4 linked regions of the Macaca fascicularis genome follow. The protein of the gene in region 4 purifies or fractionates together with the protein of the main gene of each other region. This does not show direct contact. Links are inferred from orthologs where the notes say so. Each region holds a gene or a part of one and is shown on either strand. Other genes may lie near its edges. The genes, in order: CNNM1, CNNM3, CNNM4 and protein tyrosine phosphatase type IVA 1.

The links.
Region 1: the proteins of protein tyrosine phosphatase type IVA 1 (region 4) and CNNM1 purify together in Homo sapiens (affinity purification with mass spectrometry; 4 studies listed by BioGRID and IntAct, with this or other methods). This does not show direct contact. The link is inferred for Macaca fascicularis from reciprocal best matches to the Homo sapiens genes PTP4A1 and CNNM1.
Region 2: the proteins of protein tyrosine phosphatase type IVA 1 (region 4) and CNNM3 purify together in Homo sapiens (affinity purification with mass spectrometry; 6 studies listed by BioGRID and IntAct, with this or other methods). This does not show direct contact. The link is inferred for Macaca fascicularis from reciprocal best matches to the Homo sapiens genes PTP4A1 and CNNM3.
Region 3: the proteins of protein tyrosine phosphatase type IVA 1 (region 4) and CNNM4 purify together in Homo sapiens (affinity purification with mass spectrometry; 6 studies listed by BioGRID and IntAct, with this or other methods). This does not show direct contact. The link is inferred for Macaca fascicularis from reciprocal best matches to the Homo sapiens genes PTP4A1 and CNNM4.

What each region holds. Positions count from the first base shown.
Region 1 is NC_088383.1:108,347,678-108,354,764, reverse strand, and holds part of CNNM1 (metal transporter CNNM1), read right to left. Parts: intron 3,562-7,087; coding exon 3,378-3,561; intron 3,230-3,377; coding exon 3,080-3,229; intron 1,097-3,079; coding exon 995-1,096; intron 1-994. UniProt on the Homo sapiens protein: Probable metal transporter.
Region 2 is NC_088387.1:1,841,697-1,848,783, reverse strand, and holds part of CNNM3 (metal transporter CNNM3), read right to left. Parts: intron 2,060-7,087; coding exon 1,862-2,059; intron 350-1,861; coding exon 200-349; intron 1-199. UniProt on the Homo sapiens protein: Probable metal transporter.
Region 3 is NC_088387.1:1,807,260-1,814,346, reverse strand, and holds part of CNNM4 (metal transporter CNNM4), read right to left. Parts: intron 6,661-7,087; coding exon 6,517-6,660; intron 6,178-6,516; coding exon 6,043-6,177; intron 4,660-6,042; coding exon 4,490-4,659; intron 4,147-4,489; coding exon 4,050-4,146; intron 2,647-4,049; coding exon 2,584-2,646; intron 1-2,583. UniProt on the Homo sapiens protein: Probable metal transporter. The interaction with the metal ion chaperone COX11 suggests that it may play a role in sensory neuron functions. May play a role in biomineralization and retinal function.
Region 4 is NC_088385.1:29,334,886-29,342,747, reverse strand, and holds protein tyrosine phosphatase type IVA 1, read left to right. Parts: upstream 1-3,798; 5' UTR 3,799-4,483; coding exon 4,484-5,005; 3' UTR 5,006-6,322; downstream 6,323-7,862. Other genes in the region: inositol 1,4,5-trisphosphate-gated calcium channel ITPR2, read left to right, coding at 961-1,083, 1,736-1,936, 6,418-6,669. UniProt on the Homo sapiens protein: Protein tyrosine phosphatase which stimulates progression from G1 into S phase during mitosis. May play a role in the development and maintenance of differentiating epithelial tissues.

The sequences.
Region 1 (7,087 bases), on a different chromosome or scaffold from region 4:
CACTGGAGGAACATTCATAATTGCTTGGCAGTCTGAGTTATTTTCAAAACAGAAGCAGAAATGGAGACAAAGCCCTTGACAGCTTGGCTAGAACTAACCTGCATTGTATGCTGGTGCTGATATTGGCATATTTACATCTTGAAAGATTAGGACGTACTTTTCACATAAGATGCCATCTCTGAAAAGTCACAAACCCAGGCTAGTGCCTGGAATTGAGATTTCCTGGAGGGGACTGAGTAAAGCCCATGTAACACCTCAGGCCTATGCCTCCCGTGCCCCTTGGGGGCCAGCCCCTCTGACTGCCAGACACCCTCAGAGAGGACCAATCTCATAGGCTTTGATGTCCCATGAATCAGGGTTGATGGCTGTAGCTGGGAGCTATTTCCAGGGACCTGCATTCTCTAGCTCTGAAGCAACCTCCTTTCTGCAGTGGGGCAGGTGGTCATAATTACATAGTTGTCCTCAAGGATGAGAGAGCAATCTGTTCCCAGGTCTGTTTTTAGGAAGGCATATCTTCACCTTGTTCTCTCCACCATTGACTTCCGTGTGTGGAGGATATTGCTCTCTTTCTATTGAGTCTCCTGGACACTAATTCTTTAAAGAACCAGACAGTAAATATTAGAGGCCTGTGGGCCATATGGTCTCTGTCACAATTACTTATCTCTGACATTGTTGCCATAGATAACAAATGGATCTGTCTGTGATCCAGTAAGTCCTTACTTACAAAAACCAGTAAAGGAGGGAGGTCAGAATTGACCTGTGGGCATGGTGTGCAGTCTCCTGTCCTAGAGGAAAACAACTGAATGGGACAGATCCCAAAACTATCAAGGGTGCAGTGCTGGCCCAATCCCTTTTGCGGATTTCCACAATTGTACTTCATTAGGGTTTCTAAGAGGAGTCCCTGGCTCCTCCCTCAGGAGGAAGATGCTAACATGTTTTTCCTACTAACCATCAGCAGGGTGGCTTTCATCTGGGTGAAGAACTAGCTACTCACTCAAGGTTCTCAGCAGCTTCTTGCCCACGTTTTCCTCAAAATCGCTACTGCAGGGGCTGGTCTCTGTATCCAGGTTGATGTTACAACATTCGCTATCTGATGCTGAGAAAGGAAAGAAGAGAGAACTCAAGTTGTCTCAACCTACACACTCAGGCATCAAGACAGGGTGATTCTGAGTGACATCCCTCAGCAGGTGAAGTTTAAGACGTGAGCCAAAGCGAGGGTGGTGTAATAAGGCAGGGATGCCCAGGAAAGTGCTGGGTGTCATTAGTTAGCAAGAGGCATTTTAGTGCCACAAAAGGAACAAAAAGATGGAGAACAGGAGCAGGAATGCAACGATCCATGCAAAGTCAGAAATCATTCCCTCTCCTCAAACACTTTTTGGCAAGAGAGAGGGGTTAGAGAACAACGTGTTCTCCATCCAGTCTATTTGCCAGACTAAAAGCACACGTGAGGACAGGTGGAGGTCTCCTTGGTCTATTTGCACAAACCCCAGAAAGCCACAGGGTTCAACAACATTGTCCCTGTCTTCTCCCGCAGGACTCAATGGGAGTTCAAAGAATTACAGAACCTGAGAGCCCAGAAGGGGGCCAAGCCTTACCACCAATGCAAATAAAAACCTAAACAGAAGGCAGAGTGGTGTGCTGGAAACTGCACTGCACTGAAGCCATGAGGCTGAGCCTGCTAATGATGCAGTTTTTGGACTTGAGCAAGTTGTTTCCCCTCTCTAGGCCTCCAGGGTCCTCATGTGTCACAGGACGAGGGTGGACTAGATGATCTCCAAGACTACTCCATCACCTTCGTTCTTACTCGTTTGTTACATTTTCTTGCTGTGTGCTTTAGCTACTAGATTTGGTGTTGAGGGCAGAAAAAGAACATCAGTTCTAAATTCAGGTCCTGGAACAGTGACCATGTATGTCTCAGATTTTGTGGGTCAGCCACAAGTTCAAGCATATTGTCTTGTTGACTTTAAATTTTTTTTTTTTTGAGACAGAGTCCACTCTGTCGCCCAGGCTGGAGTGCAGTGGTGCCATCTCGGCTCACTGCAACCTCCGCCTCCCAGGTTCAAGCGATTCTCCTGCCTCAGCCTCCTGAGTAGTTGGGATTACAGGCGCCCGCCACCATGCCCGGCTAATTTTTGTGTTTTTAGTAGAGACGGGATTTCACCATTGTTGGTCAGCCTGGTCTCGAACCCCTGACCTTAGGTGATCTGCCTGCCTGGGCCTCCCAAAGTGTGGGATTACAGGCACGAGCCACCGTGCCAGGCCAACTTTAAAAATCTTTGAGCACTTTTTCAGGTTGTTGCTCTGGACTTGAGGAGTCTTATACTATGGATTGGAGTAGGTCTGGCAGGGGAACTACTGGCTTGGGTGCAGGCTTAGGGGGCTACTGAAAGCTTGGGGAAGTACATCTTAGAGAGGCAAACACAGAAGCTTCTCAGGACTGCTGGGACCCTGGGCGCTCAGAGCAACACCACTGTCAAGGCAGCAGTGTTCAGCGTCTCGGAGGTGATATGATCCGAGACCTCAGGAAAAGTCTATAGACTACACCTTTGGTCAAAGCCACAGCTAGTTAGAATGTTTCCTAATCAGTTTCCTAATCTGTGAGGTAGGCCTAATAATAGCTACGTAACATTTATAAAGCATGGTACTGAACACTGTGATATGCCTTTTATGTACATTATCTCATTTATGCTCAAAGCTACTTTATAAGATAGCTGTCATAATTTATACCTATTAACATAAGGAGACTTATCTATTCAGACAAAAAAAACTGAGTCTTAGGTTTAATAACTTGCCTAAAATTGCATAACTCCTAAATGAAGGAGCCAGGGTCTGAATCCAGGCAGAAACCCAACTCCTAATACTGCCCTACACAGTTTTCCTGGGAGAATGAATCAGACAGGGCCTGATGCATGGTAGGTGCTCAGTAAATGTTTCCTTTCCCTGGCTGTGTAAGGAGGTTGGAGGTTTAACGCAGGGGCTGCGGTCCCAGGGCTCCCCTCAGCCAGCTTTCCCCGGGCCATCCCAGTACCCAAAGGCGATGATCCCCCTTGTTCTGCTAGGCCCAGTCGGCCTCCCTGACCTGCTGTCGTGGGAACGGCTACCGGAGACAGTGTGAGCTGCTGTGTGCTGTGCTCCTCGAAGTCAGTCATTTCTTCCTGGGTGAAGGCCAGCTCCTCCATCCTCAGGTACACTACCTCGCCGGGGCTTCTCAGCCCATCTGAGCGGCTGCCTGGGGAGGACAGCACGTGCATCACCTCTCTGCTTTGGAGAAGACCCAGGGCTCAGGTGGTGTGAGCCCTGGGCAGGGCTAGAAGAGGAAGGCAGGGTCGTCCTCACCCCACACCAGCCCGGCCTGCCCGTCTGCCCAGCTGACTTACACGGCAGGCTGTTCCTGTTGTTCAGGAGCGTGATGGCGGGGTCATCCTTAGGGGTCTGGGGTGTGCCCCGGGTTGTGGGGGCCTTGGTGGAGTCCCCATCTGTGAAGGCCTCCATGTCAGGGGACTGAGGTGAGCTGTCCATGTGGCAGGCAGTGAGTGCATTCTGATACTGCTGCCGTGTGATCTGGAAGGAAGAGGGCAGGAGCTTAGGAGCAGCTAGGCAGAGCCCTCCTGGATGCAGCCAGCCTTCCCAGGCTCGGGGGCAGCCTCGCTGGGGTGCTTGGAACCCTCGGCCTCTGAGGCCTGAGATCCACCAACGGGGGCCTTACCCACGCTGTAGCAGTCCAGCAGGGACAGTGAGGGGCCCTTTGCTGGTCTGCCACCAGCTCCCACTGTTCCTTTTTATTGGCACCTGGAAGAACCAAACCTTCTGAGACGCTGGAGAGGATGGAGGGCATCTTCAGAGAGCCGGGTGGTTGTCCATGGAGAAGTTTAAAACACACATTTATACTATTGCCAAAGGCCCAAAGGGTCAGTCGGGGGTGACTTGGTGAGAATAAGGTAGGACTCCAGCAGCGAAGCTCTCATGCCCCAGGTCTCAGTGTTGGGAAGCTGGAGGCTAGGGCCTGAGAGAACACAGGCATTTCTGATTTGGACTAAGCCCATCCCTGGATGTAGGGTCATGCTCCTATGTTGGCAGGGACCACAGCAGGGAGGTCTCCCAGCTGTCTCCTCAAATCACAGGAGTCAGACTTGTGATTTTCCTGCTGTGTCAAACGTCAGCCACAAGTGAAGGCATCTGGAGGGTCAGGCTGCAGCCAGACCAGACAGGAGTCTCCATGATTCCAGGCAGGAAAAATATAGATCAAATGTCTCTTCTAAGAGGCAGGAAGGTGTCTCGGTCACCCCTGTTCTCTGGGTATACAACACAGACAGGCACTGTGAATCCTTGCTAGCAGTGAAAACAGACTAGGTAGTGTGCCACCTTGTACAGGGATGTGAAACTGCTCATCAGTGGCTGGCACTGGGAGAAGAATGGAAATGGTATGTGGCATAATATCCTTCCCAATCATAGCATCTCCTAAAGCGTTTTCATCCCCCCTTCACTGCATTAGCGCTAGAGAACGAACAAATTCTGCTCATTTTGCCTTCTCTTTCCTTTGGGGCAGAATTGGTATCACATGTTGAAACAGGAAAGATTTCTGCTGGCAGTAGGAGGGGGATGGTTGAGGCTTACACACTGTGACAGAGAGTAGGCTTGAAGTTGGCTTTGTATCTGGTAAGGTCTCAACAGTGGCTCCTTGTCAACTACTCACAAGACCCATTATTTTACTGGACACGATCAATCCTTTCTTCAACAAACTTCAGGATATTTTGCAAGAGAACCAAGCAAATTCTAAGCACAACTAATCTAATCATAAAACACCAGTTAAGAATGCATGCCTTTTTGCAGAGCATATGGGACACACATATACAGAGATTCCAGGCTTCTAATCATACTTCTGCCCATTCAGGTGGGCAAATAGAGTTTTCTATTGATGGTTTAAATCAGTGATTCTCAAACCTCAGCATCAGAATTATCTGAAGGACTTGTTAAAACAAGATTGTTGGGTTTAACTCTGAGTTTCTCATTTGCTAGGTCTGGGGTGGAGACTGAGAATTTGCATTTTTAGCAAGTTCCTGTGTTCCTGGTGCTGCTAGTCTGGAGATCACACTTTGAGAACTGCTGACTTAAGACCTAGTTAAAATCAGATACAGGTACTACTCAGGTTTTGGTTTTTTTCTCTGAAGGATTTTAAAGGACAAAGCAGCAAAGTGTTAACAACTGGCTTTGATATTTTTTAGGTCAAAATGGTATGTTCTTTGCTCTATGGCGTGGAACCACAGGTCTCCACTTAGCATTTATCCAAAGTCTTCAATCGATTCAATGTGCTTGTTGAGAACACCTGACTTTTGCCACTCCCTCTGTTGGGAAGTGAGAAGTCAGGTTCCAAAATTTCCCCCAAAGATGAGGAAATTTGGCTCTAACACCAAAGGATGGGAAAATTCCCTAAATGACACTCGGTAAGCCCAGTAAAGCAGTTGATCTTACTCTATTTGGGTTCTTTAGTTATTTAGATTTGGCTTCTACTTTAGTCAAAGGACAAATGTCCCTTCACCTAAGAAATATGGCAGGAAACATACTGCCAAGAACTAAAGTTCAAGTCCCAATTTTGCCACTTTCAAGCTGGGAGACCTTGGCCAAATATATATACATTTTTAATCAGCCAATGGGCAAATGAATACACTGGCCACATTGTTAACCTCTCTGATCTTATAAAAGAGGCCCAGAGTTAATGAGATAACATGAGTGAATCTATTATACAAAACTGTTAGGAATGGTTGTTTAAAACATGCCCACATGCATGTCTCACCATTTGACTTTATAATGGGCATACATTTCAAAGACAACTGTCAAGCTTACCATCTCATTATGTCTAAATTGCCCATGGCACACAGGGTGGAGGTGGGGCAAGGAGCAGTGTCCCCTCTGCCCCCAGAGTCAGTGTGACTGGAGATGCTGTGAAAGCAAGACTAGGTCTTGGAAAAATAAATCCTTAATCAAGAAAATAAAGCAAAAGGGAAAGTAGGGGAAGGAAGGCAATTCCAAGTATGGACAGTGGAGAAGGGGGACAGAAGGAAAGGGACAGTGAGTGAAGAAAGGAGAGGAGGAAGAGAGAAGGAAGGGGCTGTTTCAGTAGGCTTTGAAATGGATTTGCTGGCTCAGGGCCCCTCTGAGTTGGTAGACTGGCTGCATCCCCCAAGCTGGAAGTCTCTTGGGAATGACTGTTGCTGCAAAATGCTCTATATTATTCAACTAATTTATTTTTGGAAAAGTTCTGCCCAGATTTTATCTTCAGTGAGTTGTACCAGTCTTTTTAAAAAAATTTTTTTTGAGATGGAGTCTTGCTCTGTCTTGCCCAGGCTGGAGTGCAGTGGTGCAACTTCTGCCTCCCAGATTCAAGCAATTCTCCTGTTTCAGCCTCCTGAGTAGATGGGACTATAGGTGCACACCACGACGCTCAGCTTATTTTTTTGTACTTTTAGTAGATACAGGGTTTCACCATATTGGTCAGGCTGATTTTGAACTCCCGACCTCAGGTGACATCACCCTCCTTGGCCTCCCAAAGTGCTGGGATTACAGGTATGAGCCACCATGTTTTTAAAAAACAATGATAGGCCCCTCTTATTACCCGGTATCAAGGATCCAGGAACTCTAACCCTCTCTTTAAGCATTGTCAGGGAGAAAAGGATGGGAAGAAAGTAGTTTTGGTAACAATACTGAGTAAATGGGACACAATTCCTTGTAAGGTACTGAGTTCCTCATCATTGGAGGCATTCACACAGATATTAAACCACCACTTGTCAGTGATGCTAAAGAGAAGATTCAGACAGCCACAGCCAGGGTCTGCCATTAGTGGGAAGAAGCACAGCAGTATACGGCAGTGAGAGTGGGGAGGGGCAGGGGCTGGAGAGCGTCTGCACTGTTGGTGGGTGTTTATATAAAAGGAAAGGTACCACCCAATGGCTAAATCATCTATGTGACTCACGGCCTTAACAGCCTTGCTTTCACACAGCTCCATTTTTTAAAAAAAATTTTTAAAAATCATGAACTCCTGCCATGTCAATGTGTTGCCTTAAAAGAAATAGTTGACAAACTGTCAATGTAT
Region 2 (7,087 bases), on a different chromosome or scaffold from region 4:
CCCAGCTGTTGGTTGTCTGGCAGAGAGGAGCTGTCTCTCCCATGACCCAGGATGCTGGCAGGGCTGCAGAGAACACACAAGTCCTCAAGACGCGCCGCTTGCTAGGAGCGGGGAGCAGAGTCAGTGTCGGCCCTGGGCGGCCTCCTGACCCACAGGACGGTGAAGAGAGCAGGGGGCGCGGACCACCCTCCCGCCTCACCTCGGGACAGGAAGCGCTGGGTGGCCAAGAGCAGCTGAGGCGAGATTTTTACTTTATATTCATCATCAGACCCCTTGAACAAGGAGAACTCCTCCTTCCGCTTGAGAGGGGCCATCAGAGAAGCAGGCTTCCTCCTCACCACAGTGTCTCCTAAGATGGAAGAAGAGGGCGCGCTCAGGCATCAGCCACCTGTCAGTCAACACCACCACACCAAGGGACTGCATTGCCTGCTCCTTCCTACTGAGGCCAGGGGGTCCTCGACGGAGCAGCATCAGAGCCCCAGGGACATGTCTTCAGCACCACTCCCTCCACGGGGCCTGCTCCCACCCCAACCACACAGAGCGAGGGGTGGCTCCCTGCCTTGGAGCTGGCTGAAGAGAACGCTGATATGATAACAAAGCAGCTCTTATAAAACAACAGGCATCCCTGATAGGTCACTGGACGTGGACTCAATTTTATTTTAATTTAGGCCAGATGTAGTGATTCACACCTGTAACCCCAGCACTTCAGGAGGCCGAGGCGGGAGGATCACTTAAGGCCAGAAGTTCACCACCAGCCTGGCAACAGGGAGACCGTGTCGTTACAAAAAATAAAATAATTAGACAGGTGTGGTGGCATGCGCCTGCAGTCCCAACTGCTCAGGAGGCTGCGGTGGGAGGAAAGCTCGAGCCTGGGAAGTTGAGGCTGCAGTGAGCCATGACTGCACCACTGCACTCCAGCCTAGATGACAGAGCAAGACCATCTCAAAAAAAAAAAAAAATTAAAAATTAAAAAATAGTAACAGGCCTCTCTGGCCACTGAGAAACTTCTCACTAGAAAGCATGTATTCAAGGATGACCAGTGCAAAAGGGCCGCAATTAACCTGGAGACCCCAGGCCTGTGGCAGTCTCAGGAATGGAACCAGAAATGCTATGTTTGAAAATTGACACGAGTAAAGCAGTATTTCTGGAAGCATGCGGGACAGGGGGCCCGGCCATGAAGCGCAGGCTCTGTGCAGCTCTGCAGACCTCAGCCACCAACCTAACAGGCAGACACTTTTACCACGAAATCAAGGGCCCGGGATCAGCTGCTTTGGGAAGACTTATTTCCACCCCCTCCCAGTGTCTCAGCCTGGAGTACAGTGGCATGATCTCGACTCACTGCAACCTCTGCCTCCTGGGTTCAAGCGATTCTTCTGCCTCAGCCTCCTGAGTATCTGGGACTACAGGCATACGCCACCACGCCCAGCTAATGTTTGTATTTTTAGTAGAGACAGAGTTTCACCATATTGGCCAGGCTGGTCTTGAACTCCCAACCTCGTGATCTGCCCGCCTCGGCCTCCCAAAGAGCTGGGATTACAGGCGTGAGCCACTGCGTCCAGCCGGGAAGACTTTCTTCATGGCAAAGAATGGGTTCTTTCAGAGGACATTTCTGTAATGTACAAAAGAACCTGCAAAAACAAAAGCACCTCGGGAGACAGAAGGCTGGGAAAGGCCCATGAAGGGCAGAGCTCTCTCAGTAATGGAGGAATCTAACAGGACTGCTGCTAACGGAGCCCCAGGCGAGCCCTCCTGCAAGGCGGCTCCCTGCCAGCGCCCAGGCAGGGCTGAGAAGGGGCCTGGCTGTGGATCTTGCTGGGTTTCAGCAGCACAGAGGCCCACTGGCCTCGGACGCAACATACACCTGGGGAAGTGCGCGGGCCCAGCGGAGACGTAACTGCCAAGAGTCTGGACTCACGGTAGTCTTCAGACTCGTCCAGGATCTCGGACCTGATGATCTCCTCGATCACGTCCTCCAGGGTGACCAGGCCCAGGACCTCGTAGAAGGGGTCGCCCTCACCCTCGTTGTTCACCTTCTGCACGATGGCCAGGTGGGACTTCCCTGTGGGCGGAGGACACTCATGGAACAGCTTGCTGGGCCCCCGCATTTTGATTCATCTCCCTCGGGGCCCACCAAAAGGACGTGGCTAATGTTCATGTTCCTACAGCGGGTCAGGCACAGAGCCCGACTCTTTTCTAGGTTTTTACTTAAGACACCCAGCATGACTATGAGGACTGGCCTTATTTTCACACGGGTTGAAAATGAAGCCCTGGGCTCATGCTTGCTCATCTGCACAGGCCCCCCAGGCAGAGGTGGCCGAGCTGGGATCCAGCTCCAGGTCTGCGCACCTCCATGCCATGGATGCAGTTCAGACAAGCATCCAGTCGAGAACACATGCGCCTCACACAGCAGCCAGCCTGCATATGCAGGCTAACAAGGGCATGACTCCGGAAACGCAGGCTCTCCTGCGGCAGTCCACACGGGGCGGCTGAGTGAGGCCACCCAGCCTGACTCTCCTCGGGAGGTTTTCCTAATTCTTTTTTTTTTTTTTTTTTTTTTTACAGTAAATATATATGCTGTCCATCCTATGTAAATGTGAACTCCTTCTTGTCCTTATGATAGAAATGAAAAAGAGATAGAAAGATAGATAGACTGTGTGTATGTGTGTGCGTGTGTGTGTCTGTGTATCTTTTCGTTTTCCTAATTCTTAGAGCTGCCCATTAGGGTCTGTGAACCAGGGGATGAGACGCGTGGCAGCTGACCACTCAGGAGTCAAGCTGTGCAGGGGGAGGCACCAGGCTGATCTTCCGCCTCACCCTGTCTTTCTTTCTCAGGTTAGCTTCCTGTTTGGTTTGTCTGCTTAGTGAGGGAATGTAAACTTGGAAAAAAGCCCAAGTCTCACAGTGTTGGGGAATGCTGGGGAGGCTTCAGGAATTTACTGTGTCAGGTAAGTGCTTTTCATCCACACTACTTTAGACCCGTCTGAAAAAACCAGAACGCAAGCCACCTAAGTAATTTAAAATCTGAACGGCTGCGTTAGAAAAGTCAAAACAAACACACAAAATTAAGTTTTATATTGTAAGTAACCCAATATAGTCAAAACAGCATTTCAACATGTCATCAATCCAAAAAATAAACACAGACGTTTCGTCTATTTTGCACTCTCTGAATCTGGTGTGTTTTATGCTCACAGCACATCTCAACTCAGACTCCACCTTTAGGTACCACAGCCCCAGGTGGAGGGGGCTGCCGGCCTGCGCTGCACAGGGCCAGCACAGGGGATGGGAGCAAGTCATCCAGCCAGGCCCTCCTTTGTCACTAACGGAAACACTGAGGGAAACTGGCCTGGACCTGCCTGTGAGGGGGACCTGCTTCAAGACTCTCTTGGGAAATCAAAAAGTCAAGTTCACGTTGTGTGGATCATACTTTACATCCCGTGAGCTTGATTTAAAAAAGCACAGTTCTCCAGGATGCTTGCATTCCCCTGGACAAAAAGCTGGAAATGGCCACACGAGTCATCTCCCCGCTTTCCAGGAGGAAAGGCTAGGGCCCCTGGAGATGGCCACTCAGCCCTCTGAACCGCATTTCTAGACACCTTCTAACCCTCGGTGCTTGTGCTGGGTGCCGTCTCTGCGTGGGCCACGGCTGCCCCGCCAGAGTACAAACCTGTCAGGCCAGGCCAGGAAGGCCACGCGCGACTTGTGGTTTTGGTTAATGCCTCGGATTCCAGCACCAAAGCCCAGGATCTAAACAGCCACCTCAGCGCAGAGAGGCCTCATCTCGACTCCCTTCTCCCAGGAAGCCAGCCCCTGTGACAGGTTTCCTGCAGAGAGGGACTCACTCCTTTGCTTTCAGACTTCTCGAGAACAAGGCACACGACTCTCCATTTCCCTCTAAAACAAGGCACACGACTCTCCATTTCCTGCCACACTGGGATGACTCTACCACGAACAGAAGAAAGCAGGCCCTGGAAGATCCCCCGGAACAGTGGTTGTGTGACTGAATCCCAAGAAGAACGTCTGGGGGGTCTAGATGGCAGCCAAAGATGGCAGCAGGGGGACAGAGCAAGGGCAGCAGGAGGGACTCAAGGTCACCTCTCATGTGCTGAGCCACCAGAGTAGAACCACTCACACCAACGCCGGCCTGCAGGCCAGCTCCACGGGGCCACACACACCGACGTCCGCCCACGGGCCAGCTCCACGGGGCCACGCACACCGACGCTCGCCCACGGGCCAGCTCCACGGGGCCACGCACACCGACGCCCGCCAGCTCCACGGGGCCACGCACACCAACGCCCGCCCGCGGGCCAGCTCCACGGGGCCACGCACACCGACGGCCGCCCGGGGGCCAGCTCCACGGGGCCACGCACACCGACACCCGCCAGCTCCACGGGGCCACGCACACCGACGCCCGCCCGTAGGCCAGCTCCACGGGGCCACGCACACCGACGCCCACCCGCGGGCCAGCTCCACGGGGCCACGAGCAGCTGTGACAGTGTGTCTTGCCAACATCAAGCAGAAAGTCCTGGAAAAGCTTCAAGTGTAATTTTAGTTAGCAGGCTCCAGGGTATCCCAATTATTTCAATGCCAAAGTACCCTTTCATAACGCCCAATTTCTATGATGTTAATAACAGCTGGAGTGTAAGTTCATCCACCCTCTCTCTTCTGTTTTCTAAAGCACCTGGGTGAATGAATGAATACTGTGAGAAAGACAAAAGTAGCGTGCTGACACTCCTCACGCTGTCGGAGCTGCTCAGACTCTTTTCAGCATCCTGGCAATCATCTGGCTCCTGACAGGAAACCAGAGCTCGGTTCCTTTAAAGCAGAGACTGCGGCCGAGCACGGTGGCGCACACCTGTAATCCCATCTCTTTGGGAGGCTGAGCTGGGAGGATCACTTGAGGCCAGGAGTTCGAGACCAGCCTGGGCAACAGAGGGAGACCCCAATCACTACATAAAATTAAAAATTAGCTGGGTATGGTGGTGCTCACCTGTGGCCCCAGCTTACTCAGGAGGCTGAGGTGGGAGGATTGCTTGAGTCCAGGAGGCAGAGGCTACAGTGAGCCACGATCACATCACTGCACTCGAACTCGGGTGACAGAGCAAGACTCTGTCTCAAAAATAATAATAACAACGTTCTTGGCCAGGCGCGGTGGCTCACGCCTGTAATCCCAGCACTTTGGGAGGCCGAGGTGGGCAGATCACAAGGTCAAGAGATAGAGACTGTCCTGGCCAACATGGTGAAACTCTGTCTCTACTAAAAACACAAAAAAATTAGCTGGGCATGGTGGTGTGCGCCTGTAGTCCCAGCTACTCAGGAGGCTGAAGCAGGAGAATCACTTGAACCCAGGAAGCAGAGGTTGCAGTGAGCCGAGATTGTGCCACTGCACTCCAGCCTGGCAATAGAGCAAGACTCCATCTCAAAATAATAATAATAATAATAGTAACAATAATGTTCTTTTTTTTTTTTTTTTTTTTTTTAAGACGGAGTCTCGCTCTGTCACCCAGGCTGGAGTGCAGTGGCCGGATCTCAGCTCACTGCAAGCTCCGCCTCCCGGGTTCATGCCATTCTCTTGCCTCAGCCTCCCAAGTAGCTGGGACTACAGGCGCCTGCCACCTCACCCGGCTAGTTTTTTTTTTTTTTGTATTTTTTTTAGTAGAGACGGGGTTTCACCATGTTAGCCAGGATGGTCTCGATCTCCTGACCTCGTGATCCGCCCGTCTCGGCCTCCCAAAGTGCTGGGATTACAGGCTTGAGCCACCGCGTCTGGCCAATAACGTTCTTTTGTACATTAAGGTCCCTGACTTAACCATGGTTCAAATTACAATTTTTCAAATTTGGTGGTTCAAAAGCAGTATATATTCAGCAGAAACTGTACTTCAAACACATATAACCATTCTGCTTTCACTTTCAGTACAGCAATCAATAAATTACATGAGATATTCAACACTTCATTTTAAAATAGCTTTGTGTTAGATGACTTTGCCCAACTGCAAGCTAAAGTAAGTGTTCTGGGCATGTTTAAGGTGGGCCAGGCCGAACTATTTTGTTTGGTAGATTAGATGTATCAAACACATTTTTGACAAGGTATTTTCAACGTACAGTGGGTTTATCAGGACATAACCCCATTTGTAAGTCAAGGAGCAGCTGTCCAAGTTATTTATTACTGCTCCGAAGCACTCACTCTTCCTGGTGCGTCTGCACAAAACAATCAGCATGTCATCTCAAGTTGGCACTGACTGAGGGGTGCCTTGCTGGTACCTCGCCCCCAGACTTAAGTTCCCTAGCAGACGGAGCAAAAGAAACAAGAGCTGGAATGAAAGCTGCCAAGATGGCAGGGACTCCAGCTCCAGGAAATTCAGAGGCTCATACGCTTGGCAGAGAGATGGGAAGGGAATCGATTTTTAAAACTTCACACACCACAAAAGCTGCAATATGTTCTTTGTTCCTAAGCCGAGGAATGCCTAAGAAGGTTAGGAAGGACAAAAAGGACTTTAACACGGAAAAAATATATTTGCCAAAGGACTGCACTGAACTAGAGAAGCAGAGAAAAAAGCTCTGGGATGTCACCAGAGAGACATGGCCAGTCTGCCCACGAATGGCCCTCACTCACCACAGGAGCGGGGAAGTCAAGGGGGATTAAAAAGCTCCTCATTCAACTTCCAGGGTCCAAAAACCTCCCCCATTGTCTTCCAAGGGGATCCTGTTCAGCGTGCTGTCAGGCAGCTTTTAGAAAGGTCCGTTTCAAGCAGAGGCACTCATCCCCAAATCCTCCTGCATCGGGCTGCTTGTGACCTGCCTGGAGGCCACCCAGCCCAGAACAGGAGCAGCCTGGACCCCGGCCTTTCTGATTTCCTTCCTAGCTACATTTCCACCTGCATTTCAGTCTGAACCTGCTCCACTTGCTCATCTTAAAACCAAACAGCAGAGGGCCTCCTCCCCTGCCCCAGTCCTCTGCCGGTCACTGCTCTCTGCAGCCACGCTCTGTGGAGGGCTGTCTACATTGGTTCTCGTACCTTTCCACACCTCATTCATTCCTCAAATGGCTCCCTTGCCGTGGCACCAAATCTGCTCTTGCAGAGGTCAACGG
Region 3 (7,087 bases), on a different chromosome or scaffold from region 4:
ATGGGTGTCTGTGGGTGTGTATATCTGTGTGTGGTACCTCACTGTGTGTTTCTGTGTGTGTCTGTGGGTGTGTATATCTGTGTGTGGTATCTCTCTGTGTCTCTGTGTGATTGTGTGTCTGTGGGTGTGTATATCTGTGTGTGGTATCTGTGTGTCTCTGTGTGTATGTGTGTCTGTGGGTGTGTATATCTGTGTGTGTTATCTGTCTCTGTGTGTCTGTGTGTCTATGGGTGTGTATATCTGTGTGTGGTATCTCACTGTGTGTCTCTGTGTGTGTGTGTGTCTGTGGGTGTGTATATCTGTGTGTGATATCTGTCTCTGTGTGTGTGTGTGTCTGTGGGTGTGTATATCTGTGTGTGGTATCTGTCTCTGTGTGTATGTGTGTCTGTGGGTGTGTATATCTGTGTGTGGTATCTGTCTCTGTATGTGTGTCTGTGGGTGTGTATATCTGTGTGTGGTATCTCACTGTGTGTCTCTGTGTGTGTGTGTGTCTGTGGGTGTGTATATCTGTGTGTGGTATCTGTCTCTGTGTGTATGTGTGTCTGTGGGTGTGTATATCTGTGTGTGGTATCTGTCTCTGTATGTGTGTCTGTGGGTGTGTATATCTGTGTGTGGTATCTCACTGTGTGTCTCTGTGTGTGTGTGTCTGTGGGTGTGTATATCTGTGTGTGGTATCTCTCTGTGTCTCTCTGTATGTATGTGTGTCTCTGTATGTGTGTCTGTGGGTGTGTATATCTGTGTTTGATATCTCACTGTGTGTCTCTGTGTGTGTGTGTGTCTGTGGGTGTGTATATCTGTGTGTGGTATCTCTCTGTGTGTCTCTGTGTGTATGTGTGTCTGTGGGTGTGTATATCTGTGTGTGGTATCTCTCTGTGTCTCTGTGTGTGTGTGTGTCTGTGGGTGTGTATATCTGTGTGTGGTATCTGTCTCTGTGTGTATGTGTGTCTGTGGGTGTGTATATCTGTGTGTGGTATCTCTCTGTGTCTCTGTGTGTGTGTGTGTCTGTGGGTGTGTATATCGGTGTGTGGTATCTGTCTCTGTGTGTATGTGTGTCTGTTCGTGTGTATATCTGTGTGTGTTATCTGTGTGTCTCTGTGTGTGTGTGTGTCTGTGGGTGTGTATATCTGTGTGTGGTATCTGTCTCTGTATGTAGGTCTGTGGGTGTGTATATCTGTGTGTGGTATCTCACTGTGTGTCTGTGTGTGTGTGTCTGTGGGTGTGTATATCTGTGTGTGATATCTGTCTCTGTGTATGTGTGTCTGTGGGTGTGTATATCTGTGTGTGGTATCTCTCTGTGTGTCTCTGTGTGTATGTGTGTCTGTGGGTGTGTATATCTGTGTGTGGTATCTCTCTGTGTGTCTCTGTGTGTGTTTGTGTCTGTGGGTGTGTATATCTGTGTGTGATATCTCACTGTGTGTCTCTGTGTGTGTGTGTCTGTGGGTGTGTATATCTGTGTGTGGTATCTGTCTGTGTGTGTGTCTGTGGGTGTGTATATCTGCGTGTGGTATCTGTCTCTGTGTGTGTGTGTCTCTGGGTGTGTATATCTGTGTGTGGTACCTCACTGTGTGTCTCTGTGTGTGTGTGTCTCTGGGTGTGTATATCTGCGTGTGGTATCTGTCTCTGTATGTATGTGTGTCTGTGGGTGTGTATATCTGTGTGTGGTATCTGTCTCTGTGTGTGTGTGTCTGTGGGTGTGTATATCTGCGTGTGGTACCTCACTGTGTGTCTCTGTGTGTGTGTGTGTCTGTGGGTGTGTATATCTGCGTGTGGTACCTCACTGTGTGTCTGTGTGTATGTGTGTCTGTGGGTGTGTATATCTGCGTGTGGTACCTCACTGTGTGTCTGTGTGTATGTGTGTCTGTGGGTGTGTATATCTGTGTGTGATATCTGTCTCTGTGTGTATGTGTGTCTGTGGGTGTGTATATCTGTGTGTGATATCTGTGTATGTGTGTCTGTTGGTGTGTATATCTGTGTGTGGTATCTGTCTCTGTGTGTGTGTGTGTCTGTGGGTGTGTATATCTGTGTGTGGTATCTGTCTCTGTGTGTGTGTGTGTCTGTGGGTGTGTATATCTGTGTGTGGTATCTGTCTCTGTGTGTGTGTGTGTCTGTGGGTGTGTATATCTGCGTGCGGTACATCACTGTGTGTCTCTGTGTGTGTGTGTCTGTGGGTGTGTATATCTGTGTGTGGTATCTGTCTCTATGTGTCTCTGTGTGTGTGTGTGTCTGTGGGTGTGTATATCTGTGTGTGGTATCTCACTGTGTGTCTGTGTGTGTGTGTGTATGTGTCTATGGGTGTGTATATCTGTGTGTGGTATCTGTCTCTGTGTGTCTCTGTGTGTATGTGTCTATGGGTGTGTGATCTCAAGGACTAAGAGACCTTTGGGGGCCCCTTCTAGAGCTGAGGCAGCAAAGCTGCCCAGAAATTGGGCCCCAGCCAAGCAGAGCCACTGAGGTCGGAGCCACTGAGGTCGGGCGGCCAACACTGAACAGGTGGCACCCGGTCCCTGCGGGGAGGTTAATGCAGCCGCAGTGTGCAGGCTCAGGCAGCAGGCAGCAGCGTGCCCCTCAGCCATGCCACGTTACCTGTGAGCCAGCAGAGCAGGGAGTTCCGCTTGCCAGGCGGACACCCGACCTGGACTGAAGGCACTGGAGCAAAAGAGAAGGTCAGTGATGGGCACAGTCAGGAGACAGGACACGGAGCCACAGGCACAGGACAGAGGCAGACCTGACGGGGCCAGGCTGCTTTGGGCAGAGACGGGCCCAGTGGAGAAAGGGACGTGGCTCTGATGGGAAGGGTGCTCAGGGCACAGCAATGAGCCCTGTGCGGAGATGGGCAGAAGCTGGCTGAGTATGCCCAGTCATCTCCACTCCCTTCTGGCCACACTAAGTGGGAACAGAGAGACTACGGGTGGAGGGACCAGGCCTCCGAGGCTTCGTTGCACAAGCAGTGCCTGGGGGAGGCCTCCCGTGCCTGCCCGCCCTTCTGAACGAGATTTCCTCAAGCTGAACAGAGAACAGCTGCTCTTGGAGGCACAGGAAGTCCTCCCCAGGCCTCAGGCATCTGGCAGGGTCCACCTGCTCAGAGCCCCTCTCTGGGGCCCTGTCTGTCCCCTGCCCAGGGAGCCTGCCATGCCCCACTCATCTGGTGGAGGGGCCGACGACACGGTGGGTAAGCTGAGCTGGGTGTCAATATTCATGGGTGCCCTACCCCCATGCCCCCTCGGGGTCCTTTCTGTCAAAGGACAATGAGGCACAGCACAGAGCTGCTCTGGGAACTGCAGCATGTACCCCACTGGCGTGGCCTGTTCTCCAGCACCAAAGTGGACTTTCTCTCTCTACCCTGCAGCAGCCTCGCCCCAGGACCCAAGGCTGGAGAGGAGCGAGGAGATGAGCTGGCGAGGCCTGGGCCTGCAGGGCTTTGTCTGCGGGGCTCTGCGGGGAAAGCCTGAGCCACTCAGCACCGGAGAGGGCACTGGGGCGGCCAGAGCGGCGCGTCCCCACACCTTCCATCACACCTCTCAGGGGGTGCCCAGTCTCCCTTCTGTCTGTCCCCAGGGCCCTTTATTCCATCGGAGCTGACCTCTAACCAAAACCCAGTAGCCGCGTCCCTCGGAAAGCCAAACCCATCTGCAGCCTGCCCTGGCAAACAGGCCCTCGCCTGGCTCCTGACCTCAGGCACTTTGGACGCCCAGACTCCCCTCCTGTCCTCAGGAGCAGGGCCCTGGGCCTTCCTCCCCACAGGCCTCCTCCCCAGGCAGACTGGTCTCCTCACCACCTCTGGACATGCCCTCCACTGCCTCCTGGCCTTTGCTCTAAAATCCCTCTCTCCTCTCTTCCCCTCCGGTTTCTGGACTCCATCCAAAGGGGCAGCTCCCTCCGCTCCTCCATACCACCCACTCCAGGCCCTGGCGGCTCCCACCTCACAAGCCTCCCTCGGCCCCAGCCAACTGGCTATGAGCTCTCGGGCCCACGCTCAGTTCTGGTGTCTGTCCACGGCTCCCCAGCTGCAGGGGGCCAGAGTGCAGCACAGACCCTGCCCAACAACTCACCAGAGGGGACCGAGGTCAGGGCCATAGTCCCATAGTAGGAAAAGGCGCCCGTCTCAAACTTCATGTTCTCCTTCCCTGCCTCCACCTCCACCTTCCCCTGAAAACACACAGGGCTGGGGTTAGAGACAGAGTGAGGGAGGAAAGAAAGGATGAGGCAGGATGGGGAGTAAGGAACAAGGGATGGTGGGGCAGGAGGAAGGGCCGGTACTGGAGCCCTGGAGAGCTCAGGGGCCTGACCTGTGGGATTAAGGGAGAGCACAGCCTCTCCTTCATCCTGTCAGGGAGAGCACAGCCACGTGGGGCAGGTGGGGCTCGAGGGCAGGCGGCAGGCTCCCCAGGCCGGGAAGCCATGCACCTCCGCAGCAGGTGGGAAAGAGGGCCCGAGGGGTGCTGCGGTGCCAGGGGGAGCAGGCGGCAGGCCCAGGGCTGAGTGGGCTCACCTGCAGGATGAGGATGAAGTAGTCGGCCGGCTTATTTCGGGTGTACAGGTAATGGCGGGCGTAGTACTTATTATGCTCATCAAACTTGAGTTCCTGAATGACATCTGGGTACTTGAGCAGCCGCAGCAGGATCTTCTCTGATATCAGGGAGGGGCTAAACTGGGGGACCTCTGTAGGAGGACAGAGAGGAGACCTTACACGGGGCTGGCCAGGTGGCCCTAAAGCTCGATCACTGTTGTGCGTCCACCCCAACCACAATAGCCGTGCTGTGATCAGACTCCCTCCCTGCTCGGCCGGCCCTCAGTTCTGTATCTCCCTGGGGAGGGAGCACGCTTGGCTTCTGACTGGATGGACCCGAGGCTGCCTGCCTGCCTGCCCGGGCTTGAACAGTGGCTCCTACAAGAATAGCACGTGACCTTGGGCAAATTATATAACCCGCATCTCAGTTTCCTCATCTGTAATATGGGGGTAAAAGCTTCACAGGGTGGTTGTGAGGGCGAATGGGATAGCACGTGGACAGCGCTTAGTATATGTGACTATAATTATTGCATCAGCATCGATATCCCACAGGAAAAATAATGGAGAGGGAATTACCATCCCTTTAGCAAGTAAGGGGTGGGAAGGAAGATTAATTGGGTGGGGTGGGGGAGGGGGCAGGGAGGGCAGAACAGAACCTGTCACCCAAGTCCCCAACGGAGCTTTGAATCAGGGCGGAAAAGAGAAATGTCTCTGAACTAGAGGTGAATTCCTGCAGGAACCAGCACACGTCTGCAGAGGGGAGGGCTGGAGAGATGAGAGCAGAGCTGGACGCAAGCTCCTCAGAGTGGGTGAGCGCACGAGGGGTTCAGCCGCACCCAGCAGACCTGCAGAAGGGGAAGGATCCCTTCTTCCCATTCCACAAGCCCTGATGGGCCTGGCCAGCCTAGGGGCCCACCTCAGTAGTTATTTTCTTTTTTGTTGTTTTTGAGACAGAATCTTGTTCTGTGGCCCAGGCTGAGTGCAGTGGCGCATTCAGAACTCACTGCAGCTTCAAACTCCTGGGCTCAAGCGGTCCTCCCACCTCAGCCTCCTGAGTAGCTGAGACCACAGGCATGCAACTGTCCCATCCCACAGCCTCCTGAGTAGCTGGGACTACATGAGGGCACCACCCTGCCTGGCTTTTGGATTTTTTGTAGAGATGGGGTCTTGCCATGTTGCTCAGGCTGGTCTCGAACTCCTGGGCTCATGCAATCCTCCTCCCTTGGCCTCCCAAAGTGTTGGGATTACAGGTGTGAGCCATAGTGCTTAGTCATTATTTCCCAAACTATTAACTATAATAACCGGGATGCTTCCTAGAAGTTTGCAGTAGCTGCCCATTAATGGCAAACGAATCGCAGGGAGATCCCCGGGGGTGGAGTAGGCACCTGGCCCCTTCCAGGGGTGGCTGTGTTGTCTCTGCACCCCTCACCTGCTGCAGCCCTCGTCCTATGAGGGGAAAGTAGCCAGAGACCCAGGACTTCTCCCCCTGTGACCGTATTTCCACCAAGACCGGAAGGTCCTCCTCACGCTCCTACCTGTGGCTAGGAAGCGATGAGCAGCCAGGAGGAGCTGCGGGGAGATTTTCACTTTGAGCTCACTGTCCGTATCCTTGAAGGCGGAGAAGTCGCGCTTGTTCTTCTCAGACACCCGCTTCCGGCTTCGGTTGTCAGCTGCCGGACGAAGAGCGTGGAAATGAGAACACAGACCCCAGAGGACTCAGGAAGAGACCCGCCCCGCAGCTCCTGCTCTCCAGCCCCTAGTCCCACGCAGGAGCAGCGGGCTCTGGCTGGCAGGTCCCCAAGGCACAGAGGCCAAGGGTGAAGGTAGCCTCCGGGCAATGCTCTCAGTAACCTGCTCCCTGCTCACCGCGGCCAGTGCAGGGCACCTGGCCACCGGGCCTCGGGATGCTAGGCCTCCTGTGTCCTGCACTATGGCCCTTCCAGCTAGGGACACCAGGCTTCGATCCAAGCAGGAAAGGGGTCCTGAGCCCTGTGGAGGGCTGGACTCACTGTACATGTCGGACTCATCCAGGATCTCCGACTTGATGATCTCCTCGATCACGTCCTCCAGGGTGACCAGGCCCAGGACCTCGTAGAAGGGGTCGCCCTCACCCTCGTTGTTTACCTTCTGCACGATGGCCAGGTGGGACTTCCCTGTGGGCCAAAGAAGCAGGTCAGACAAGAGTCCAGAGGCCAGTCATGAGACTCCCTCAACCAAAACATTAATTCTAGATGTAGGGTCATAGGTCACCAGGATGGGGTCATGGCGGTTTTTCTCTTTTGCAACTTTCCTGACATTTCTACTACAAACGGACATTGCTTTTATGAAAAGGAAAACTAAAAGTAATTTTTAAAAGCATTTCGTTAAGGACTGCTTTTTTGTTTTTCTCTTTTTTTGTGGGGGAAGGACAGGGTCTAGCTCTGTTACCCAGGCTGGAGTGCAGTGGCACAATCATAGCTCACTGCAGCCTCCAACTCCTGGGCTCAAGAGATCCTCCCACCTCAGCCTTCCGAGTAGCTGAGACCACAGGTGTGCTCCACCACGCCCGGCTAACTCTTTTATTTTTTGTAGAAATGGGTC
Region 4 (7,862 bases):
CTGCCCCAGATTCTTATAACCAAATGATAGTAGCTTAGTATAGGACTTTGGAAAATGGCAACGAATAAGGGATATTCATTATTAAGAGTGTTAAGAAACAGGGGGACAAAAAGGAGGAGAAAATAGAAGAGAAAGCAAAGAGGAAAAGAAAAATAAATAGTTGGAAATAAGAGACAAGGTAAATAGCAAGAGGAAGGGACAGAGAGATTGGAGAGAGGAAGAACTGAGATGAGTGAGTAATAAATATATATACAGAGATGACTGACAGAGTGGAGGAAGAGAGGAAGTTTAAATGGAGAGGAAAGGGAGTGAGAGCAGAGCAGGAGAATAGGGGATGGGAGAAGAAGAAATAATAGATGGGACAAGAGGAGAAGAGAGGAGATGAAATAGACATGGGAGAAAGAGTAGGAAGGAAGATGTATGAGAGAGAGAGAGAAATGGAGTAGGGAAAGAGAGACAAAGAAGAAAAGAAGCAGAATGATGGAGATATGTAGACATACTGCAAAATGAGACATTTAAAGGAAGGGAAGAATTATGGGGACTGGGGAGTACAGCAGAGAAGGGAGGAGAAACAGAGAAAGATAGGGACAGAGGAAAGGAGGACAGAGGGAGTGTGGGGATGAAGCAGAGGAGGAAAATGTGGCTATGTACAGAGATGGGGAAACGTGAACAATTGGAAAGATTGGGGAGAAAGAGAAGGGCTGTGAAATGAAGGGGGCATTGGAAGAGTAGAGCAGAATAGAATCAGGAGGAATAACAGAGAAGGTGAGAAAGATTTAGAGAACAGAGAAGAGGGACAGGAGGGGAAACTGGGAGAGGTGTGAAACATAAAGGACACAGAGAAACGAGAGCAAAGATGGGCAGAGAGAAAAATGGTATGTGGGTGAAAGGACAGATTTTTGCATAACATTTGCAGTCTTCTATGTTTGTTTCTATCATGTGCTATTCTTTCACTTACAGAACGATGAAAAGATGAACGAAGTAATGAATCTAGCCCATACGTTTCTGCAGAATTTCTGTCGAGGAAATCCACAGAATCAAGTTCTTCTTCATAAACATCTGAATTTGTTTTTAACTCCAGGTGTAAGTATTTTAGTGGCTTCTAATATTTCTAGTAAAGTGTGCATCAAACTTGTCTTAGTAACATTCTTGAAGAGAATTTTGTTACACTTCATTGCTGCCTTTTTTTTTCCTTGTGGAAATTCTCTCTCCAAAAGCAAGTGTCTTTTTTTTTTTTTTTTTTTCCCATTAAGGAAACTTTTAAAGAAACTTGAAAAATTGCACAAGTTTTACATGCAAATGACAACGTCTTTTATATGTATATAGTTAAATGTTAGGAAAAAGATATGGTAGAACAACGAACTAACTCACAATACCCTGAGTAAGGTAAATATGGAAAACTCAGAGGTGGAGTTTGCCCTTGTCTGTAAAATGTGTTTGAGCAGATTTCATGGAAGACCTAACTTTGAATTCATAATTAATCTCGAGAATACTGTTGCCAGTATGTTGCACTTTATGATAATAAGCTCCTTTCTCCAACTAAATTCCTCTGTGAACTCAGTTTTCTTTTAATGGTTAATGATCTCATTGCATTTTTTGAAAGACTTGCACAGAAAATTCACTGTGGCTTTGTATAAAATATAAAACTGATCACAAGCGGGGCAATTAGTCTAAGTACTGTAGAATAGAAAATTGATCTTGTCAGAATTACAAGGGCACGTTCCTCTGTGTTTAGCTCCTTGAAGCAGAAACCATGCGGCACATCTTCATGAACAATTACCATCTGTGCAACGAAATTAGCGAGAGAGTTGTACAGCACTTTGTGCACTGCATTGAGACACATGGCCGCCACGTGGAGTACCTGAGGTTTTTGCAAACAATTGTGAAAGCAGATGGTAAATATGTGAAGAAATGCCAGGATATGGTAATGACAGAGGTATGTTCTCAGTTTGCCTTTTATCAGCTTCACATAAACAGTATGTTCAAATATGTATTTTCTATTAGAGTGAAAAAACCCCCAACCGCATAGGTTTGAGAAGTTATTTAATTTAATCATGACTACTCAAGTGCAAATATATTTTGCTTTAATCTAGTGAAGCAACATATCTTAAGTTGGTTTTATGATTTTTCTAATATTTTTCTTTTTGACCTATAAAAATTTGTGTATTTTAAATAATGGGCAAAATCCTATGAAATGTTATCGATTGTTTGGAATGAAAGTGACACAATTTTATATTTTTGAGTTTCCAGTGATATAAGAAAGACAGACTGAACTGTGCTTTTCCGGTGCCTTTATTGCTCTGTTTCTGAAATATAGAATGGGTGTTCTCTGCTACTATTTGTAGAAAGGTTTGAAGAGAATCAAACTAAGTAATACAAACTACCCAACAGTGATTTTTTTTTTTTTTACAACATGTGGAAACTTATTATTTAGAGTAAGTTGTAACTTTCAGCAAATGAATAGATGAAGGCACTTCATCTATTGCCTTCAAGTATGATGCATTGGAGAAGTAGCAGCTTAAAGAGCCCGTTGATTAAATCACTACTCTGTGACCAAATGGTTCTCTAGTGGCCCATATGGACTAAGGGAGCTTCCACCTATGGCTACCAAATAGTTACATGGTAGATTTTTATTGGTTTCTGGGCATTTTCATTAGTATATACCTTAAATTTGGGAATGGAGGAAATTTCCATAATGCTTCAAGGAGTCCCTCCTGCCACTTAGAAATCTTAAAATTAATTTAGCTTAAAGCCTTGAATTTTTAAATGTAAATTATTGTTATTAAACATTTTAAGGAACATTTTAAGCTTGTAAAATGCACCTTTTTCTTCTCTGAAATTACCTTCACATTAGCTCTTCATTGTCTGGAAATGTGAGAACTAAATGGATTTTGTGTTATGATCAGCAAGGAAAGAATTAGAATGGGGAAGCAGCAAACAGTGAAACCATCCCTATGACACTGTTGGGTGAAGTGTTTCTGTGCACAAAGAAGTATTTGTAATATTATATTATGTTAATATGTAATACATATTTTTGATAAATATACATTCTCTTTCAACAAAACTTTCAAAGTAAGCCAACTGGCTTATAGATTTAAATATGTTGTCACTTTAAATATAATACATAGAGAAAAAATTGTATATCCTTAGTTACCTACCAACATGTCTCACACTGGGGTTAGAAAATTGGTACTGATAATAGACAATAAGATAGTATGGAGTTTGAGCAATAAAACTGCCATCTGATGGAATTTTCTACTAAAATTATATAAACAAAATATGAAGGAAAATTTATGTCCTAAAAGCCCCTACCTATTCATATCTTTGTTTCTCTTGGTTTTTTGGTCTTAGTTTTCTACTTATTTCTCTTGTCTCTGCTTTTACCTTCATTCTCTACTGATGCCTTCTTATGACACATGGAATTTTTTAGACTTTTGTAGAGCTGTAATTAGCTCGATGTACTTGCTTATGCAGTCACTATTACAATGGATGAGGATATTTTACTCTGCTTTAGTAAAATTATGAGATTTCTTGTGCTTTGGCCATAGTCTCCTGGCCAAAAAAAGGTAGAGGAAAATAACTATTTTTTTACAGGTTTAATTTGAGTGTGATGAACAATTTACTATCATCCATATTGTTTCATTCTTGCCCCATCTGCTGCTTCCATATCACCCCAACTGATTTTGATAGCATTCATAGCTGGTTCCTTGGCATGGGACCATAATCTTTTCACCACCCTCCCCCAGCTTAGCTCTGCTTGTGCCATATTATATATGTTTTTACAAAGAGATACATGTGGCCTCGGCGCGTGTATTGGCTCCTTCGGCTGCGGGCCGGCTCGGCTACGCGCTCTGCTCCGAGCCGCTCACTGCATGGTAGAGTCTGGTGCCCCCGCCGCCGCCTGCATCGCCGCCACCGCCGCTCCGCCACGACCACCGCCGCCTCCTGCCCTGCAGCCGCCACCACCGCCTGTGTCGCCGCCGCCTCGGGACCGGCTGTATGATTAGGCCACAATCTTCAATGAGTAAACATATTCCTCAATTCTGTGGTGGTCTTGGTCACACATTTATGGAGTTTCTGAAGGGCAGTGGAGATTACTGCCAGGCACAGCACGACCTCTATGCAGACAAGTGAACTGTAGAAACTGATTACTACTCCACCAAGAAGCCCCCATAAGAGTGGTTATCCTGGACACAGAAGTGTTGAATTGAAATCCACAGAGCATTTTACAAGAGTTCTGACCTGGATGGGGTAAACCTCAGTGCGCTTCTTTTCTGTTGGCCTCAGTATTACTGGATTGAAGAATTGCTGCTGCTTGTTAGGAGGTTCATTTCATTTATCATTACTTACAACTTCATACTCAAGCACTGAGAATTTCAAGTGGAGTATATTGAAGTAGACTTCAGTTTCTTTGCATCATTTCTGTATTCAATTTTTTTAAATTATTTCATAACCCTATTGAGTGTTTTTTAACTAAATTAACATGGCTCGAATGAACCGCCCAGCTCCTGTGGAAGTCACATACAAGAACATGAGATTTCTTATTACACACAATCCAACCAATGCGACCTTAAACAAATTTATAGAGGAACTTAAGAAGTATGGAGTTACCACAATAGTAAGAGTGTGTGAAGCAACTTACGACACTACTCTTGTGGAGAAAGAAGGTATCCATGTTCTTGATTGGCCTTTTGATGATGGCGCACCACCATCCAACCAGATTGTCGATGACTGGTTAAGTCTTGTAAAAATTAAGTTTCGTGAAGAACCTGGTTGTTGTATTGCTGTTCATTGCGTTGCAGGCCTTGGGAGAGCTCCAGTACTTGTTGCCCTAGCATTAATTGAAGGTGGAATGAAATACGAAGATGCAGTACAATTCATAAGACAAAAGCGGCGTGGAGCTTTTAACAGCAAGCAACTTTTGTATTTGGAGAAGTATCGTCCTAAAATGCGGCTGCGTTTCAAAGATTCCAACGGTCATAGAAACAACTGTTGCATTCAATAAAATTGGGGTGCCTAATGCTATTGGAAGTGGAACTTGAGATAGGGTCTAATTTGTTATACATATTAGCCAACATGTTGGCTTAGTAAGTCTAATGAAGCTTCCATAGGAGTATTGAAAGGCAGTTTTACCAGGCCACAAGCTAGACAGATTTGGCAACCTCTGTATTTGGGTTACAGTCAACCTATTTGGATACTTGGCAAAAGATTCTTGCTGTCAGCGTATAAAATGTGCTTGTCATTTGTATCAATTGACCTTTCCCAAAATCATGGAGTATTGAGTTATGACTTGTTTAAATCTATTCCCATGCCAGAATCTTATCAATACATAAGAAATTTAGGAAGATTAGGTGCCAAAATACCCAGCACAATACTTGTATATTTTTAGTACCATACAGAACTAAAATCCCAGGAACTATGAACACTCTAGACCTTATGTGGTTTATTCCTTCACTCATTTCAAACATTGAAAGTAGGGCCTACATGGTTATTTGCCTGCTCACTTTATGTTTACATCTCCCACATTCATACCGGTATACATCAGGTTTGCTTAACCATTGATTTTTTTTTTTTTTTTTTACCAAGTCTTACAGTGATCATTTAATATGTTTCTATAAATCTCACTTTGTGCTGTTATTAAAAAAACCTCCATTTTGAAAATCTACATTGTACAGAAGCACATGTCTTTAATGTCTTCAGACAAAAAAGCCTTACATTAATTTAATGTTTGCACTCTGAGGTGCAACTTAACAGGGAGGGCCTGAGAAAAGAATGGGAGGGGGCTATTAATTATTTTTAGCAAAATGTTGCCTTTGTCTTGTGCAGAACATGTAGAACATGCTCTTTAATTTAGTAAAATATTTTTTTAAAAGGTAGAGATGCTTTGTTATTGTAATCATAAACTTCCTGAAATTCTTGTAATTTTTTTTCCATACTTATCAGAAGCATGTTTACCAACTTATTTTTGTTTGAAAGTGTGATTTTTTTTTCCCTTCCCAACCTCTCTTGCAAAAAAAGAAATGGGTTTCTGCTAATGAATTGAGCAGACATCTAATATTTTATATGCCTTTTGAGCTGTGTAACTTAATATTTGGATACTTGATAATTTGTTTTATTATGTAATTGATAAAATGGTGATGTGTATTAATGTTAGTTCAACCATATATTTATACTGTCTGGGGATGTGTGGTTATAGTTCTGTGGGAGAAATAATTTTGTCAGTGTTCACCAGCTTGTAAAAACTTAGTGCGAGAGCTGAAACATCTAAATAAATAATGACATGCATTTATCATCAAAAAAAAAAAAACAAAAAAAAAACAAAGAGATACATGTGTTTCCAGATATATCAAGCCTTTGGAATTAACTGCAAGGATAAATGTTTGGACGGCTCTGTAGACTCTCTTATTATCTTTTCAGTTGATAAATGGGGGTGAAGACGTGCTGATATTTTACAATGATAGAGCGTCATTTCCCATCCTTCTCCATATGATGTGTTCAGAGAGAGACCGAGGGGATGAGAGTGGCCCCTTAGCCTACCACATCACCCTGGTGGAGCTGCTGGCAGCATGCACAGAGGGGAAAAATGTCTACACTGAAATCAAGTGTAATTCCCTTCTCCCGCTGGACGACATAGTGAGGGTGGTGACCCATGACGACTGCATCCCTGAGGTAAGCCTGGCAAAACTTGGCAGCTCTAATAGAATCATTATTAATTTTTAAAGTTCATGTAGGTGCCAGAAGTCCCCCATACTAATATTTATAATGAGATCATATATTTAGTCAGGGAATTGTATTTAACTATATAATTTGGAAAATGTAAAGCAGCATAAAAGGTCTGCTTTTTAATAAGAAGTTCTAAAAGAAGTTCTGAAAGATGATAAACTTTTTTTGTTGGTTTTTTTGAGACAGAGTTTTGCTCTGTTGCCCAGGCTGGAGTGCAAAGGCAAGATCTCGGCTCACTGCAACCTCTGCCTCCTGGGTTCAAGTGATTCTCCTGCCTCAGCCTCCTGAGTGGCTGGGATTACAGGCATGTGCCACCACACCCAGCTAATTTTTGTATTTTTAGTAGAGACGGGGTTTCACCATGTTGCCCAGGCTGGTCTCGAACTCCTGACCTCAGGTGATGCACCCACCTCGGCCTCCCAAAGTGTTGGATTTACCGGCATGAGCCACCGCAGCCAGCCTATGAGAAACTTTTAAGACGTATAGCCACTGCTCGTTTAGTGGAAGCTACTAGACAGCTCTCTTAAAATTCTAAACATGGCAATATGATCAAACTGAAAGGTTTACTTGAACCTTTAGTATGTACTTGAGCATAAAATAGGTGTTTCAAAAATGATTCATAATCATTGATTGGAGAGGCTAGGATAGTGCTGCAGGATCACATAAAAGACTCTGCAGGTTTACCTGGTTTTATGGAATAGATGCATTCTTGAAAATATGCATACACAGTTTGCTTTATTCCTACATCATTTACCCTCTGTCCTGGTTTGACTCTGATGATAGAAAAAGCCTCAGTAGCAGCTGGTTGTCTGCCAATAGGCTTCTATTAATGAGGCATCCAGGAATGTACATTGCAATAATTTCTTTCTTTTCTACTGTTGTATGTTGTTCCAAAGCTTATAAATGTGTGACACCCTGAAAAAGATATGGAGTCAAACATTTAAAATCACAGTAACTTAAAAAGGTGTCAGATGAGGTTAACGGAAATTCCCTACTTTTAGATAATCGTATGGTAGTGATGGACTTGAAAGCACATTTTTGTGAAATTTTGTGGAATTGTCGACATGTCACTCCAAGAGTACTTCATGCCTGATTGGTCTGAAATAAGATGACAAAGAGGGGAAGTCTAGTCTAATGAT